2 linked regions of the Pelodiscus sinensis genome follow. The protein of the gene in region 2 interacts with the protein of the main gene of each other region in a biochemical or structural test. Links are inferred from orthologs where the notes say so. Each region holds a gene or a part of one and is shown on either strand. Other genes may lie near its edges.

What was found. The genes of interacting proteins can lie anywhere in the genome.
Region 1: the proteins of CRK (region 2) and ARHGAP32 form a complex in vitro, tested with the Homo sapiens proteins (2 studies listed by BioGRID and IntAct, with this or other methods). The link is inferred for Pelodiscus sinensis from reciprocal best matches to the Homo sapiens genes CRK and ARHGAP32.

What each region holds. Positions count from the first base shown.
Region 1 is NC_134736.1:11,486,280-11,494,091, reverse strand, and holds the start of ARHGAP32 (rho GTPase-activating protein 32), read left to right. Parts: upstream 1-4,728; 5' UTR 4,729-4,871; coding exon 4,872-4,978; intron 4,979-7,812. UniProt on the Homo sapiens protein: GTPase-activating protein (GAP) promoting GTP hydrolysis on RHOA, CDC42 and RAC1 small GTPases. May be involved in the differentiation of neuronal cells during the formation of neurite extensions.
Region 2 is NC_134731.1:1,453,125-1,460,055, forward strand, and holds the start of CRK (adapter molecule crk), read right to left. Parts: upstream 3,052-6,931; 5' UTR 2,967-3,051; coding exon 2,723-2,966; intron 1-2,722. UniProt on the Homo sapiens protein: Involved in cell branching and adhesion mediated by BCAR1-CRK-RAPGEF1 signaling and activation of RAP1.

The DNA.
Region 1 (7,812 bases), on a different chromosome or scaffold from region 2:
CCAAAAGTGCTCCTTGGCCAGCTCTTCTAAAGCTCTTGAATTCAGATTATCTGGACCTGTAGATTTAAAAGTATATTGATGAAAATGCTTATATTGATTGGCTTTGGCTGTCAGTTTAAAGCAATGACCTCTAACCCTGTGTACAGCAGGTGTTCACAATATGGTTCCTAAAATGGTAGCAGTCACTGATTTCTAGTCTGCACTGGCAGCACGAAATTCAGGAGACCATAACTTGTGGTTGCAACAGAGAGTAGTTCTAGTAATAACAGTGTAGTGTGGACAAAGGTGTTTGAATATCTGTTAGCTTTTGCTGTAACTTATGTAATAAAAAGTACATGAGGTTTTTTTTGCTGGGTGCTAGTTATTTCATCAGCTTTGAGCTGGAAACGGTAGCTGCTTTTACAAAATAGGTTTAGTTCAGGGGTGGGCAAAAGGGTCTCTGTGGGCTGTATCCAGCCTGCCACATGGGTGGATCTGGCCCATGGAGGTCCTGCTGCTCCCCTGCCCCCAGGCCAATCAGAGCCTGGGGGTGGGGGAGCGCCCGAAGCCCCTCCCGCCCTGCCAGGAGCAGGTGGTGCTTTGAAGTGCTGTGCGCTGCTCGCGAGGGGAGGGGGGAGGAGCAGAGGAGGCTTCGTGCACTCCAATCAGGGTTTGGGGGCGAGGGAGCTGCATGAAGCTTCCTTCACCTTGCCCCGGCCCTGGGAGGAGCCTGCGGCACTTCAGAGTGCCACATGCTTCTCGCAGGGTGGGAGGAGGCTTCCTGTGTCTCCCACGCTCAGGCCCTGTTTGGCCTGGGGGTGAGGGAACGTGCCAAGCCTGCAATCACGGTCTGGGGGTGGGGTGGCCCACCTCTTCCTGTTTAGGCCCCTCCCCTTCCAGGGTGGACAGGGCTACTTCAACAAATTTTGAAGTGGTCCCGGGCAAAAATTATTGCCCACCCCTGGTTTAGTTTCACTCTTGTGAGTTCTCAGTAACTTTCTACAAAACACCAGTTTGATAACTACTTTGGAGGTACAGAAGAGTATTCTCTAGCTTGCAGCATACTAGTTTGCTGAATCTCAACAGATATTCTAACCTCATTCTCAGTGTGCTCTAATCATAGGACTGTGATCTAGAGCAGTGCTTTCCAGACGTTTTTAGTGCTGCATTTTGCCCCGCTCTTTTGTGATTCACAGAGGATCCAGATTTTGGGGGGGGGGGGGGTATTGTAAAAATCATAGGCCAGAGTCCTTCTCCTTGCCCCAGTGAAGGGGCACTGGCCACTCCCAGGAGCACCCTTCATCCTGACACTGGAATTCTGATCCTGGCCCAGGGTGATGGGGAGGCCCCAGGAGAAGGGAGGTTGGAAAGTGACCCCCATCCCACACTCATCCTGCAGTGGTGCTGGGTCTGATTCCCCAATCTGGGCGTTGCAGCTCAGCACACAGGATTGCAGTGCCACTTGGGTTTGGCCCTGATGCGCCTCCCTGGGGGATGACTGGGCCAAATACGCATGAGTGATGCTGGGGGCAGATGTGGGGGGTCACAGCACCACAGCGTTAAGTTGGCTTGTCTGGCTCCCACCATGTTGCGGTGGCTGGGCCAAGTGGAGTGGCACTGTCACCTTGCTCAGTAGATTGCAGCTGCCAGAAAGGAGAGATGGACCCAGCCTTGTGGAACAGGAGCTGCTGCTGTGCAATGAGTGCCATGTGGGCTTGCTCTGCACTGGGCCCCTCTTTCTGCAGTAGTGACCTGGGCATGACAGTAACTGCAGCTTGCCCAAGGATCTTAGCTTGGTGAATACTGATAAATAGGTCCTGAATATACACTCCTCGCCTCAGAGGTAGCTAAGCAACCGTTCACACAAATTCCATCGTTCTAAAACGCACTTGAATATTTAATCATTTCTAAAATCATCCATTTTCAAAAGGTTGAAATCTGCCTCCCCTGGCGACCCCCGAAAACAGATCACTCATCACCACCTTCTTGCATCCATACAGTCTATGAAAGCACTTGTCCTTCATCTTCAGCTGAGCAAGTCAAGGCATTTCTCTCTAATTCAGTAACTTTAATATCTAAACACTACAGTCTGTAATTCCAACATTTCAGGAAATGTTCTAGGGCTCAGTTGGAAAAATCCTATTGATTTGGGGAAAATTGGAATACCAGAAGGGGGCAAGTGAGGCCACAGGAAACTCCCTTCACGCTCCTCCCTAGTTGTCTGTAGATGGAAGAATTGGCTGATGGCATCAAGTAATATTTTCCTGTGTAACTAATATCTCTGCTTAGCCTCCCATTTGCCTTTAACTTGTTGACATCCTGAATGACTTCTCTACAAAACAGAATGAAGATTAATAACAATGGTGAAGGAAGGTGGGGAGCACAGCATCCCTAACTGGAGGGTATTAGGGGGCATGTTTGTAGAGAGATCCTGAAATAGAAAGGGATGGGAGGAGGCACATAGAGAGCATATGGGGGAATGGAGGAATGCAAGGAGCCCCTGGTATATTTAGTGACGCAATAAAGCCTGTAGCCCCCTATTGTAGGACTCTTCTCTCCCCCCCCATTTACATCTCCTCTCTACTTTTCCCCTCTCCTAGGTGTTCTTTTCTTTCATCACTGGAGTCTGGATTAGCCTATCCCTCTTGTGCATACTTGCTTTGGTGAGCAAAGATACATTCCTATTGGTCAGATTCTGGAAGAAAGGGCCCTAAGAACAATAATCAGGCTGTCTAGGCACTGAACCAGTCTAACCTGTTCCATTGTTTTTCCCTGCAGCTATTCACCTCTGCCAAAACTTGCCAATCCACTAACCTCCCTTCCTCCTGCAACCTGTTGAGCTAATGTTTAGGAAGAGCATGCTTAGTTATTAGGATTGTTAAAGAAATATATTGTCGTTCATTTATACTGCACTTTGCAAACATCAGTGTCAATCTTGTTAATCCTAGTATAGTGCTGTTGAAATGGTTTCAGTGGGACTTTTCTCTGTGGTGAAATCTATGGTTAGTAATAAGCATTTTTAAACCATCGTATTCAGATATAAGACCCATTTCCTTCCCTAAAGAACACAGAATGGAAGAGCTTGGTGTAGTTTTCAGCTCCACGAGAGGCGGTATCTATGTTGACGGGAGTAGCTCTCTGTCGACATAGCGCAATCTACCCTGAATGACATACCTATAGTGATATAAGTTTGTACTGTACACCTGTTCAATCAGTTCTATAAATACTAACTAGAAGATTTACCTGGCATTGCTCAGGTCCTTCAGAGCAGGGGCCTGAGGCTGTGGGAGGTGCAGGACTCAAAGCAGGGGCTTCGGGATATAGGGCGGCTCAGGGCAGGGGGCCAGGGATGGGGGTGGAGGAGACAGAGTTGGAGGTGAGGAGAGGCTAAGGGCAGGGGTTGAGGTTACAGGAGATTGGGAGGTGTGGGGGTGGGTAACTCAGGGCAAGGGGTGGGAGTGAATGTTGGCTGCTCCCTGAGGCTGGGGCGCTTACTGTGTCCCCTGTGGTCATTCGGGAGTAGAACTGTCCCTGCTATCACAGCCTTCCCTTTCCATTTGATTCGAAACAATAGCATTCCATGTGCTTTTCCCATTGTCCTGGAATAATCAAACCGTGACCTTGCTTTAAGTTATGATAAGAGGAAGCTGCATACCAAATTGGGTGGTCCTAGCTCTGGAACAAGCAGACTCAGACATATGGACAGGCAGACAGATGCACAAACTCTTTCAAATATATAGTAGACTAGACCAGTGTTTCTCAACCAGTGGTACGAGTACCCTTAGGGGTACTAGAGAGAAGTATGGGGGGGATGTCAACTCAACTGAAATTTGGAGAAAACTGATTTTTTGTTTTAAGTTTTATAGCACTTTATTTTTATACTTTTTGCACCAAAACATCGCCCGCCTGGCTACGATTAAGTTGTTTAAATAAATGTGTTGTAATGGTAGAAAAAAAGTTTGTGCGTCTGAAAACTGTAGGTACTGGGGGTACTTCATAAAAAAAATGTTGAGAAACACTGGACTAGACTATGCTGCCTCTCATGGGTATTTAATCCACCTATTAAAACATCACTTTCCTGTAGATAATGGTCTGTTCTCACTTTTTTTGAGTGGATTTGCAGGTTAAACTAAAGGTTCAGTGTTAAATAACAAAACTTTGCTTTTCTACAGTTCCTTATGTTTTAGGATGTCCAAAGTGCTTTACCAATGAGTTAAGGTCTCTGAGTCATCCCTGGGAAGCATGTAAATATCCTCAAAACAAAATTATGTAAAAGTCAGTTTGTGGCAGTGCTAGGAATAAAATCCAGTTTTCCTAACTTTTAGTCCCAGTTGACCATTTCCTACAGAGTTATTAAAATTATTTAGGATTTGGAATGTCCAACTTACTTCCCTGCCTCGGGGTACTATATGGCATAGAAATGATTTGTTAGCCTTCCTGCTTCAGCCTGGAAAGGGTTACAGCTGGAAATGCCTGTATCAGCCTGAGGAAAACATGAATCAGTATTAGTGGGTGAAGGAAGAATGGGAACCCTGGTACTTCTCACTTCCGATTTTCTCCTGTGATGTTTCAGGAGGTGTTGCATACAACTGACATTTCTGAGCCTGCCTGAGGTGGAAAGCAGTCTGTATGTACTGTATCATTAAAGAAGGGGAGAGGGACTGGGTGGAAAAAGAACCTCAGTTTTTAGCTCTTTCTCTGTGACTCCTCTGCGTTCTCCTCCTCTTGCTGCTTCTAGCCAGCTGCTCCTGCAGACTCTGTCTGTGTGTCTGTGTGTCTGTGTGTCTGTGTGTCTGTGTGTCTGTGTGTCTGTGTGTCTGTGTGTCTGTGTGTCTGTGTGTCTGTGTGTGTGTGTGTGTGTGTGTGAGCGTGCGTGTGCGTGCGCGCAAAACATGGAGGGAGGGACAGAAGCTCCTACTGCTGCTTTTACCAATATCTATACAGCCGCTTCCACTGCAGGGATGCTAGGATCTGGCAGCAATCGGGATGAATCCAAAAGGTCAGTGCTATCAATAAATCACCCACGGAGATATGCTCCTGAAAGGCGTTCTTTTTTTTAAAACCCTCCTCTAATAAAAAGAATGTTAAGCTGATACGTTAGCTGCTGCAGTGAACATAATTGTTTCACGCTGTGTCTTAGCCAACAATGTCTAATAAAAATTTAGAGCACGACAGTGTTTTTTAAAAAAAGCAAGCACGTCATTATCACAAAGATAATGCAAGTTCCTTTACAAAGCCTAAAGATAAGACCAGCGAGATTTCGAATATTGGTATAGAAGAAGGGTAAATTATTTCCTGCAGTCAGATTTTATTATAGATTATAGTAGATATAAAAAGTAGTTGGCTATAATAATTTGGTATTTTTTCATCCCTCACCCTTTATATGACCGTCTCTTCTGAAGCATTTTCCAGTAAAATAGGTATAAATTGTAGGAATTAGTGTAATTGAAACTTGCATTTATTTAATCTAAAAATAAAATGTTTTGTGTGATACTAATTTAAATAGGAAAAAATACATAATCCTTACCAGTTGTATTACGAGAACAGTAGTTGGTGTTCTCAGTGTACTTCTAATGTTTTTTTTCGTGGCTAACTGCTATTGCCACCGTATGGTTTTAGAAACTAGCTGTGAAAGTCCAGGTTATCATGTAGTTAAAATTCTTGTAGAATGAGGCAGTGTTGATTATCTTCAGGATGGATCTTCTCCTTCACCCTTGGCTTGCATTTATCCAGTGGCTGATAGGAAATAAGCCTCTATTGCTCTTCCAATCCAATTGAGCTTTTCTACTTCTGGACTGAGAGCACATAAATATTTCCTTGCGGAGAAAGAGGAGTGGAGAGACAGTTTAATTTAAAACTTGCCTTCTCTGGCACGGCTGTCACCCTCCTACCTGGCTTGCAGATTGAGGCTGTTTTGCAAAACCAAAAGTTATTTATGGACGTAGCTGTAGGACGCAGAAGACTTAGATTCTCCTATTTCAGTGCATGATACGTATAAATTAAGTTTAGCTATTTTATGCTGACTCCACCCACTTGGGTTTACACAGCCTCGGGTGCAGTGGATAATTTCTAGTAGTGTTTCAAAGGAACCCAAATAAATCTGGATTCCTTTGAATTTGTTTTCTCATAAGCTGCTGTTTTTTTCTTTCCTTCCTTCCTTGAGGGAACTGTTAATGTGGTCTCCATACAGCATTTGAACCACTGAGGAACTGAAATACCACGAAAAAATTCAAAGTTGTATAACATTGGGCCTCATTAATAGGCTTCTTTATTCGTGTAATAAGAAAAGCCTGGCAAAAGCCTAAACACAAATGTCTGAGATGAAAAATACTAGAACCCACACACTTCCTAATTTCTATTAGCCATGCAATTATAAATACACATTTCAAAATTCCCACACCAATGCAGAGGACTTTTGTAAATAGCAATGTCATGGGATTTTCTTCTTAGGAAATGTTGGGTGCCTAGCTCTGTGTACTGAGGCTGCAATTGTTTGCAATCAGATAACAGTGTTATGTTACTATATACTGTTTCCATTGCTGAAGATGCAAGAATGTTATTTGCTGGAGATCTGTTTTTCCTTATAGAAAATGTGCAGCATTCATCTAAATAATTCTGAAATGACAGTCCATAGGACAAATCTGTTTTAATTCCAGGAGGGATATATCCTTTGCAAATAATCGAAAACATGATGGAATTAGCATGATTCGCTCCTCCGCATCCTGCTTTTCAGTGTACAGATAAAAATCTGCACTGAGTCTGTCAGGATTCCAGTTAAAAGGATTGTGGGAATATTTTAAAGTTTTTGCTCCCTCCCCATCATGTGCTCCTGATACTGACATTTTGTTTTGTGTTGGTCAAGGAATTCTGATTGTTGGCACTGGTGTGAAGCTCAACAGTGCAAACTCCAGGGCCTTATTCATGCTGGCCTGCTTGGGGGAAAAACCATCTTCCTTGTGTGAGTCAGGACTACAGGTTTGGGTCCAGAAGTAGCAATTGTTTTGATTATTTTCTTTCTTTTGGGTATCAAATTGGTGCTGTTGAAAGTGGGACAGCTACCAAAGCATGACAAGACATAGTATAGGCAATGATTGCCCAAGTTTTGCTCTCGCGGCAAAGCAATATGCTTTATTTCTGATTTGCATCTCCTTATATTAACGCCAATTTTTGGCATTTCATGTTCTGTACGTGCCAAGTTGTGTGTGATGTAGCTTTGCGTCCAGGAAAATTACTCTGAGACCACTAATCTCGCTTATATTTGTGACCTGATCATGTCCTCTAGTAGTTCATGTTGAGAAGAAACACATTGTGCTGAATTCCCTCTCTTAGGATCTCTGGACTTTTCTTAGAAAAAGTATTCCAATATATCAGTAGAAAAACCAATACAGGCAGTCCCCGGGTTACGTACAAGATAGGGACTGTAGGTTTGTTCTTAAGTAGAATCTGTATGTAAGTCGGAACTGGCGTCCAGATTCAGATTCTGACTTACATACAGATTCAACTTAAGAACCCCAGGCGTCCCCAAGTCAGCTGCTGCTGAAACTGATCAGCGGCTGATTCCAGGAAGCCCGGGGCAGAGCAACTCTGCCTCGGGCTTCCTGTAGTCAGCGCTGGTCAGTTTCAGCAGCAGCTGACTTGGGGACGCCTGGGGCAGAGCAGCTGGGGTGCTGCTGGGTTGGTCCAGTAGCACCGCTCCTCGCTCCTCGGCGCTACTGGACCAACCCAGCAGCACCCCAGCTGCTCTGCCCCAGGCGTCCTGATTCAGCCACTGCTGAAACTGACCAGCAGCGGCTGAATCAGGACCTCGGGCAGAGCAGCTGGGGTGCTGCCGGG
Region 2 (6,931 bases):
GGGTGCTGCCGGGTTGGTCTCGCCGCGCCAAGGGTCGGCACTACCAGACCAACCCGGCAGCACTCCAGCTGCTCTGCTGCAGGTTTCCCTGATTCAGCTGCTGCTGAAACTGACCAGCAGCAGCTGAACCAGGGATGCCTGGGGCAGAGCCAGACTATCGGAAGGGGGGGCTATGAGGGGTCTGAGGTGGTATCCCCCCACCCCAGACCCCTCATAGCCCCCCCTTCCAATAGTTCGGCATATCTGATAATCCAGCACCCTCTGAGTCCTAAAGGTGCCGGATTATATTACATTTGTACTGTACTCTTTCCCCTCCATCCCATTACTTCATTCACTTATCTACATTGATGAGCAGTCATCTGTTGAAGTGGGCTTTACCCACAAAAGCTCACGATGTGTGTGTTAGGCTCTTTTTTGAGAAGGAAAGCAAAGTCCTTTTGGGACCCCAATTTTTCAGTAGTGATATCTGTCCCACTCCAAAAACATCTCCATATTCTAGTGACCCTGCCTCAGGAAAAGAAGGCTGTTTGTTTGCAGTAGGGATGTAAAAGGTTAACCAGTAAGCCTCACTTTTAGCAAGTAGCCCACTGAGGCAGCCCCTGTCCATGGCAGCCCAGCCAGGTTCCCTGCCCGCAGGTTATAAGATGGAACTCTGCTACTGAATGGCATAGACTAAGAAAAATACTAAAAAAGAGTGGACATTAAATTGCTAATAGTAAATACTGAAGTATTAAAAGTTAGGGATGCAAAAATCCCATTTAATCATTTAACCACTGAAGGTTATGTTTAACCAGTGAACTGCTTAAATGGAGGCTGCTCCAGCTGGGCTAGATTGCCTCCCCTCCCCCTGTCTGCAGCACGCACCATAGGCTGGGCTGCTGCAAGCGTCCCCTGCCCGCAATGGGCTGTTCTGGCCTCGCCGACACACCATTGGCCCAGAAAGACTAGAGCAGCCCTCTGCCCACAGCAGGTGGGGGGGCTGCTCCAGTCTGGCCCTGCTCCCAGTTAACCATAACTGGTAAGCATGACCCGGTACGGGTGAAGCTTACTGGTTAACCATTCACATCTCTGATAAAAATGCCAGGCTTCAGGGATCAAACTATTTTCTAAGTATTAGGGAGTCAGTGAGAGTTTTAATAGGGAGCAGATTATCTTGCAACTCCCTATTGCAAGCTTTCTTGCACCTTCCTCTGAATTGTGTGGTTCCGGCCTCCATCACAGAACAAACGTTGGATCAGATGGACCATGTGTTTTATCCAGTGTGAGAATTACTATGTTCCTATAATCCAAGCATCTTGCACACTACAAAACAAAAGCTAATACCCCAGCAGAAAGGCTGGCATATCTGCCATGCCCATTCTGGTGCCATTTTAAAGGCAGTGGTGCAGAAAATTCAGACTCAAAAGGTTTGACACCGGAATGGACCATTATGATAATTTATTCCGTCCAGCATGACACCAGCCATAACATTTCACGTATTAATTTCTCAAACCCAAAAACCTGTATTTGAATTTGGAAGAAGATGTCTTGTTAAATGTCCTATTTTGACTGCATTCAGTCAAGTGATAGAGAATCCATCACATTCTTTGTTAAATTGTTCCCAAAGTTAGCTGCTTCTCCACACAAAAGTTTACACTTATTTCCAGTTGAATTTGACTAGCTTCAACTTCCAGTCCCTACTGCTTATTGGGTCTTCTGATGTGTCTGTACAGGCAAACATGAGACTTTATTCCAGAATAAGTATCCTGGTTCCAAAGGTACTTAAATACCAGGTTCAATTCACCTTGTAACCGCCTCTTAAAGTTAAATACATTGAACTAATTTACTCTTGCTGAATTTCAGGTTTTCCAGAATAGCAAAGAGACTAATTTTTGGACTGTCTCGAAATTTTTCCATATTCTTTTTGGAGTGTGGCCAATAGAATGGAACACATTCTAATAATGGTTACAGTGATCCTCCACTCAAAAGTAGTATCTTACAGCTCAATATTTCCATTTATACATCCAAGGATCACATTACTCCTTTTAGCAACAGCGCTGCATTGGGAACTTGTGTCCAGCATGACTCCTAAATTCAGAAGCACTGCTTTTGGATACAGTCCTCCAGCCGGTAAGTATAACCACTTTTCTTTGATCCTATATGTATGATATTGTGTGACTGGATTAAAAACACAGTTTGACACTTGTATTTTCATGTATCAGATTTCAAGCCATTCTAGAAGGCATAACACATCTGCTTATTCTCCACAAATGAAAGGAGAAAATCAGGGTAATTTTGCTTAGCATCCACTTGTAACATCTCAGAGAGGTTACCGGTTTAAATACTTAAATTACGCAATTCAAATATTTCCTTTTCAGACTCGGTCATTTGGAGGTTTGAAATTAAACAAAGGAAATCTCCCCCCCCCCTTCAAGAATCTCTCATTAAAACGAGGAATTTAACGGTCTTTCCCCCACACCCCCAAGTCTCTACTATGCCAAATGTTTTCAAACGCCTCGTGCGATCGCTCCACGACCAGGCAGCGCTAGAGCGTCAGCTGCCTCCGGCGGGCGGGGCGATCCCCGAGCGACGGGCGATCTGGGGCGAGTGGCTGCCCCGCCGCGAGCGCTGCCGCAGGGGGCGGGAAAGCCCCGCGCCGCGCGGAGCCCGAGCAGGGGGCTGGGCCGCGCCCAGCGAGCGAGGCCCGGGTCGGACAACCCCCCCCCCGGCGCGGCGCACTCACCCGGGGCCCCGGGGCCCTCGCCGCCCGCCCTGCGGCCGCCCGCCGGCGCCAGGCTGTTGACGATGTAGTGCGAGACCCGCGAGCTCTCGGACACCGACAGCACGAAGTCCCCGGGGATGGTGCCCGAGTCCCGCACCAGGAAGGTCCCGTGGCGCTGCCCCTGCAGCAGCGACACCGCCTCGGCCCGGCTCAGCCGCCCCCAGTACCAGCTCGCCCGGTCCTCGGCGTCGAACTGCCCGGCCATGGGGGCCGCTCCCGCTGCGGGCCGCCGCCGCCCAAGCCCCCCGCTCGGCTCCGGGCCCCGCCACCCAAAATGGCGGCCCCTGCGCTGACCTCACCTACCAGACGTGACGACAAGTAGCCCGCGAAAAAGGGCGACGGTCCGGAGACGTCATCGTCCCGCGCAGGCCGCGCGGCCATTGGAAGGTCACGAGGGGCGGCCGCCATTTCTCTGCGGCTTTTCGAAGGGGCGCGCGCGGAGAGCCGCCATCGAGGGGAGGGCGTGGAACGGGCCGACTGGCGCGGCGGGTGCACCCGCCATTGGGGGACGGTCGCTGAGGGGGAGCGCGCCGCGGGTGGCAGGAGCAGGAGGAAGGTCCTGAGTACGTGCGGGACTGGACTATGCCGCCATGTGCAGAAGGTCGGCGACAGGCTGATTGGACGCCGGGGGGGGGGGGGGGGCGCCGCGCGCCTCTGCGGAAGCTGGCCCCGCCCCCACGCTGCGGGCCGGCTGGTAACGGTCGCTGCGCGCGCCCGGGCGGGAAAACACGGACTGCAACGGTCTGCGGCGGCCGTTGGTTGTGGCTGAGCGCCTGCGACAGGGCCCAGCAACCCCCCAGCCCAGGCGCAGAGTTGGGGTAACCGGACCCAGATCTGGAGCAGCCCGCTCCCTCAAGCCGCCCGGCCCGGCCGTGAGGCGCTGGGCTCTGTCTGCACTGCCGGGCTCCGCGGCAAACACGCGCCGGCCGCCAGCGAGCGTCCCCCCGCACGGCCAGGACAGCGCACCTGCGCGTTTCCGGGAGCCCCCCGCTGCCACGCCTGCCTTTGTGCCCCAGAGCTGTAGTGCAAAGAGGAGTTATCCTCGCCCAGAGGAGGCGCTGCTGGCCAAAGCCCTCGGCTCTGTTGAGTTTCTTGCGCAAAGATGTGCTTGAGGTGTGGACACTCCACCGGTTTTTGACCAAAACGGCTGTTTTTGCACAAAAACCTTGTAGTGTAGACATAGTCTAAGGTGCCACAGGACTGCGTGGTTTGAAAGTTACCCCTCTACGACCCTATGTCCAGACCGCAAAGAAAAGTCAGAAAAAGATACGCAAATTGCAAAGCACAATTTGCGTATCTTTTTCCGCTTTTTTTTTTTTCTTTCTTTCAGAAGAGGCTTCTCTGAAATTTGGCCAACTGCATGGGGCCAAATTTCGGAAAAACCTCCTCTTTCAGAACATCCCTTCTTCCTCATACAATGAGGACTACCGAGATGCCAAAAGAACACGTCTGCTTTTTGGGAAACTGTCCAGAAAAAAGACACGTTCCTTGGATGCGGTATAGCTTTTCCGGGATATCGCCAGTATCCCGGAAAAGCTCTGCAGTGTAGACATAGCCAGAAAGAAGCAGAGTGGTTGCTTCCCTCCAGGTAACAATTATTTACACTGGGTCTGATAGTAAACAAAAGTGTTCTTACTAAGTACACACAGTGGGATTTAAGTCAGTGTTTCTTAAACTGTGTTCCAAGGCAGTCGGAGGTGTGCCACGGAGAACAGAATTAAAAAAGATTTCAGTACCAGGTGGTATGGTCACCTGTTTTTCTAGCACCAACCACCACTTGGGCTTTTAGGACAAATAAGGCTGCTCACAAGTCACTGAGCTGATCACCAAGTCATTAGGCTTCCAGAACACCAGTAATGGCTCTCATTAATACATTTTAAACTATAAACAGACTCACACTTCATATTTCTAACTTCACATACAAGAATGATACACGGACCAAAATAAGATATACAGATCCAGCAAACTGTTACATTATAGGTTTCATGAGGTATTTTGTCTAAAGCACCTTTGACTTATTAATATTTATATTCATAAGCCACATTTCATAAAACAATAAGTGTTTGAATTAAAACCCTTGGCTGCAAATTGGGTAGCTGCAAAAGACTGTCTTTTAAGACAAGGTGAACCATTTTAATCAGGAAGGTGACTGAAGTACATAGCAGTTCCATGTTTGCTGTCTTGTTATTTACTCTGCATGACAAAGCTGTTTTTAAACTGTTGTTGCCCCAGTCAAAAAAACAAAGAGAATGCTAGGAGTCATTAAAAAAGGAATAGAGAATAAGACAGAAAATATCTTAATTCCTCTATATAAAACCATGCTATACCCACATTTTGAATACTAGTTACAGATATGGTCATCTCATCTCCAAAAAGATATACTGGCATCGGAAAAGGTTCAGAAAAGGGCAACAAAAATTATTAGGGGTTTGGAACGGGTCCCATGTGAAGAGAGATTAAAAAGACTCGGACTTTTCAGCTTAGACAAGAGGAGACTTACAAGGGTGAAGGGGGATATGATAGAGGTCTATAAAATAATGACTGGTTTTGAAAAAGTAAATAAGGAAAAGTTATTTACTTATTCCCACAATATAAGAACTAGGGATCACCAAATGAAATTAATGGGCAGTAGGTTTAAAACAAACAAAAGGAAGTTTTTCTTCACTCAGCACACAGTTTAATCTGTGGAACTCCTTGCCAGAGGATGTGGTGAAGGCTAGGACTTTAACAGGGTTCAAAAAAGAGCTGAATAGATTAATGGAGGTTAGGTGCATCAATGGTTATTAGCCAGGAAGAGTAGGAATGGTGTCCCTAGCCTCTGTTTCTCTGGAGGTGGGTGACAGGATGGGGGTGAGAAGCTTGCTTTAAGGCATTTGTTTGACTCTTTAGAGCCAGGTTTTATTAACTTAAGAGAATTAAAAATAACATGCGTTTTCAGCCATTGTGGCTGCCAACACACTTTGGTTAACGGTTTGCTGCTTTTTAGCAATTTGCTGTGGAGTTATTTTCGTTTTCAGGTTAGTAACTTTTTTTCAGAAACACGACAGAGCCTCACACAGAGCTTGCACCAGCACAACCTTTTTCTATCCCTGGATGCCAGGGAGGCCTCCACCCACCCCTCAATGGCAGACCAATCCTGAAGATGCCTGGAGGGATCCATATAAGGATCTCCTCCCATTTCCCTACCAATCTGTTAATAAAATCCCTAACAGTGGTTGCAGTAAAGAGCCCATCAGACTTACCCATGGAGACAGGATGATCTGGCACAACTCTCCCCTGGGATCCTGTTCATAATGCCAGATGTTTGAGAAGAAACAGGCGGCAGAGGAGCAGATAGGGTTAATGGACTACTTTACTGTTGACGCACATTTACCTTGGACCCCCAACACAATGTTGTGAGTGGCAATGATTTGGCACCAGTTAGACTTTATTTATTTTAGTATGTTAATTTGCCCATTTATTACTACTTTACATTAACCCTTATTTAGCTAAATTAACTTCCATACAATTAATATTAATAAGCAGGTGATGAATACAATTATATCTGCCCCTTTTTGTCATTTACTGGTTTTTAATTAAATTAGCATTACATACTGTTTTAATTAGCAGTTGGGGGGGGGGGGGCACGGCTTTGACCCTGCAAGTATTTTTGCAGAGCAAGTGTGAAGACTAAGCAAGACACTGTTCAGTGCAACTCTTTCTAGGCCGCAAGGACAAAAGGAAAAAAAGATGCTTAAAGGGCAATGCCTGCTCTAGCTAACCCCCCTGCTGCTGTTGTATTTTTTCCCCAAACAATTGTTTATTCTGGTAGTTTGGCTGTAACACAAGAGACCTACAGGCCACGTCCTGTATGTTGAGCAAGGCAAAGTTGTTAGTTTTGTGTGGGACCCTTCACCCAGAAAGCAGTTAGCTCACATCTGCTTGGGACCTTTTGCCCGGCTCCATGGCGGTGCAAGCGAGGGACTTTGCATGCCACAGGCGCACCCAAGAATGCCCTCGCGTTTCGCAGGAACATCGTTACTTAGAAAACCCAACATAACCAGTTGAGACCAGACTGAATAACTGGGTAGGACAGAAATTGTAAATGTGATCGAGAACCACAAAAGGCCCATGGTAATGAATTGACACGTGATAAGTTGAGATCAACGACATACTGACCTGCTGGAAAAA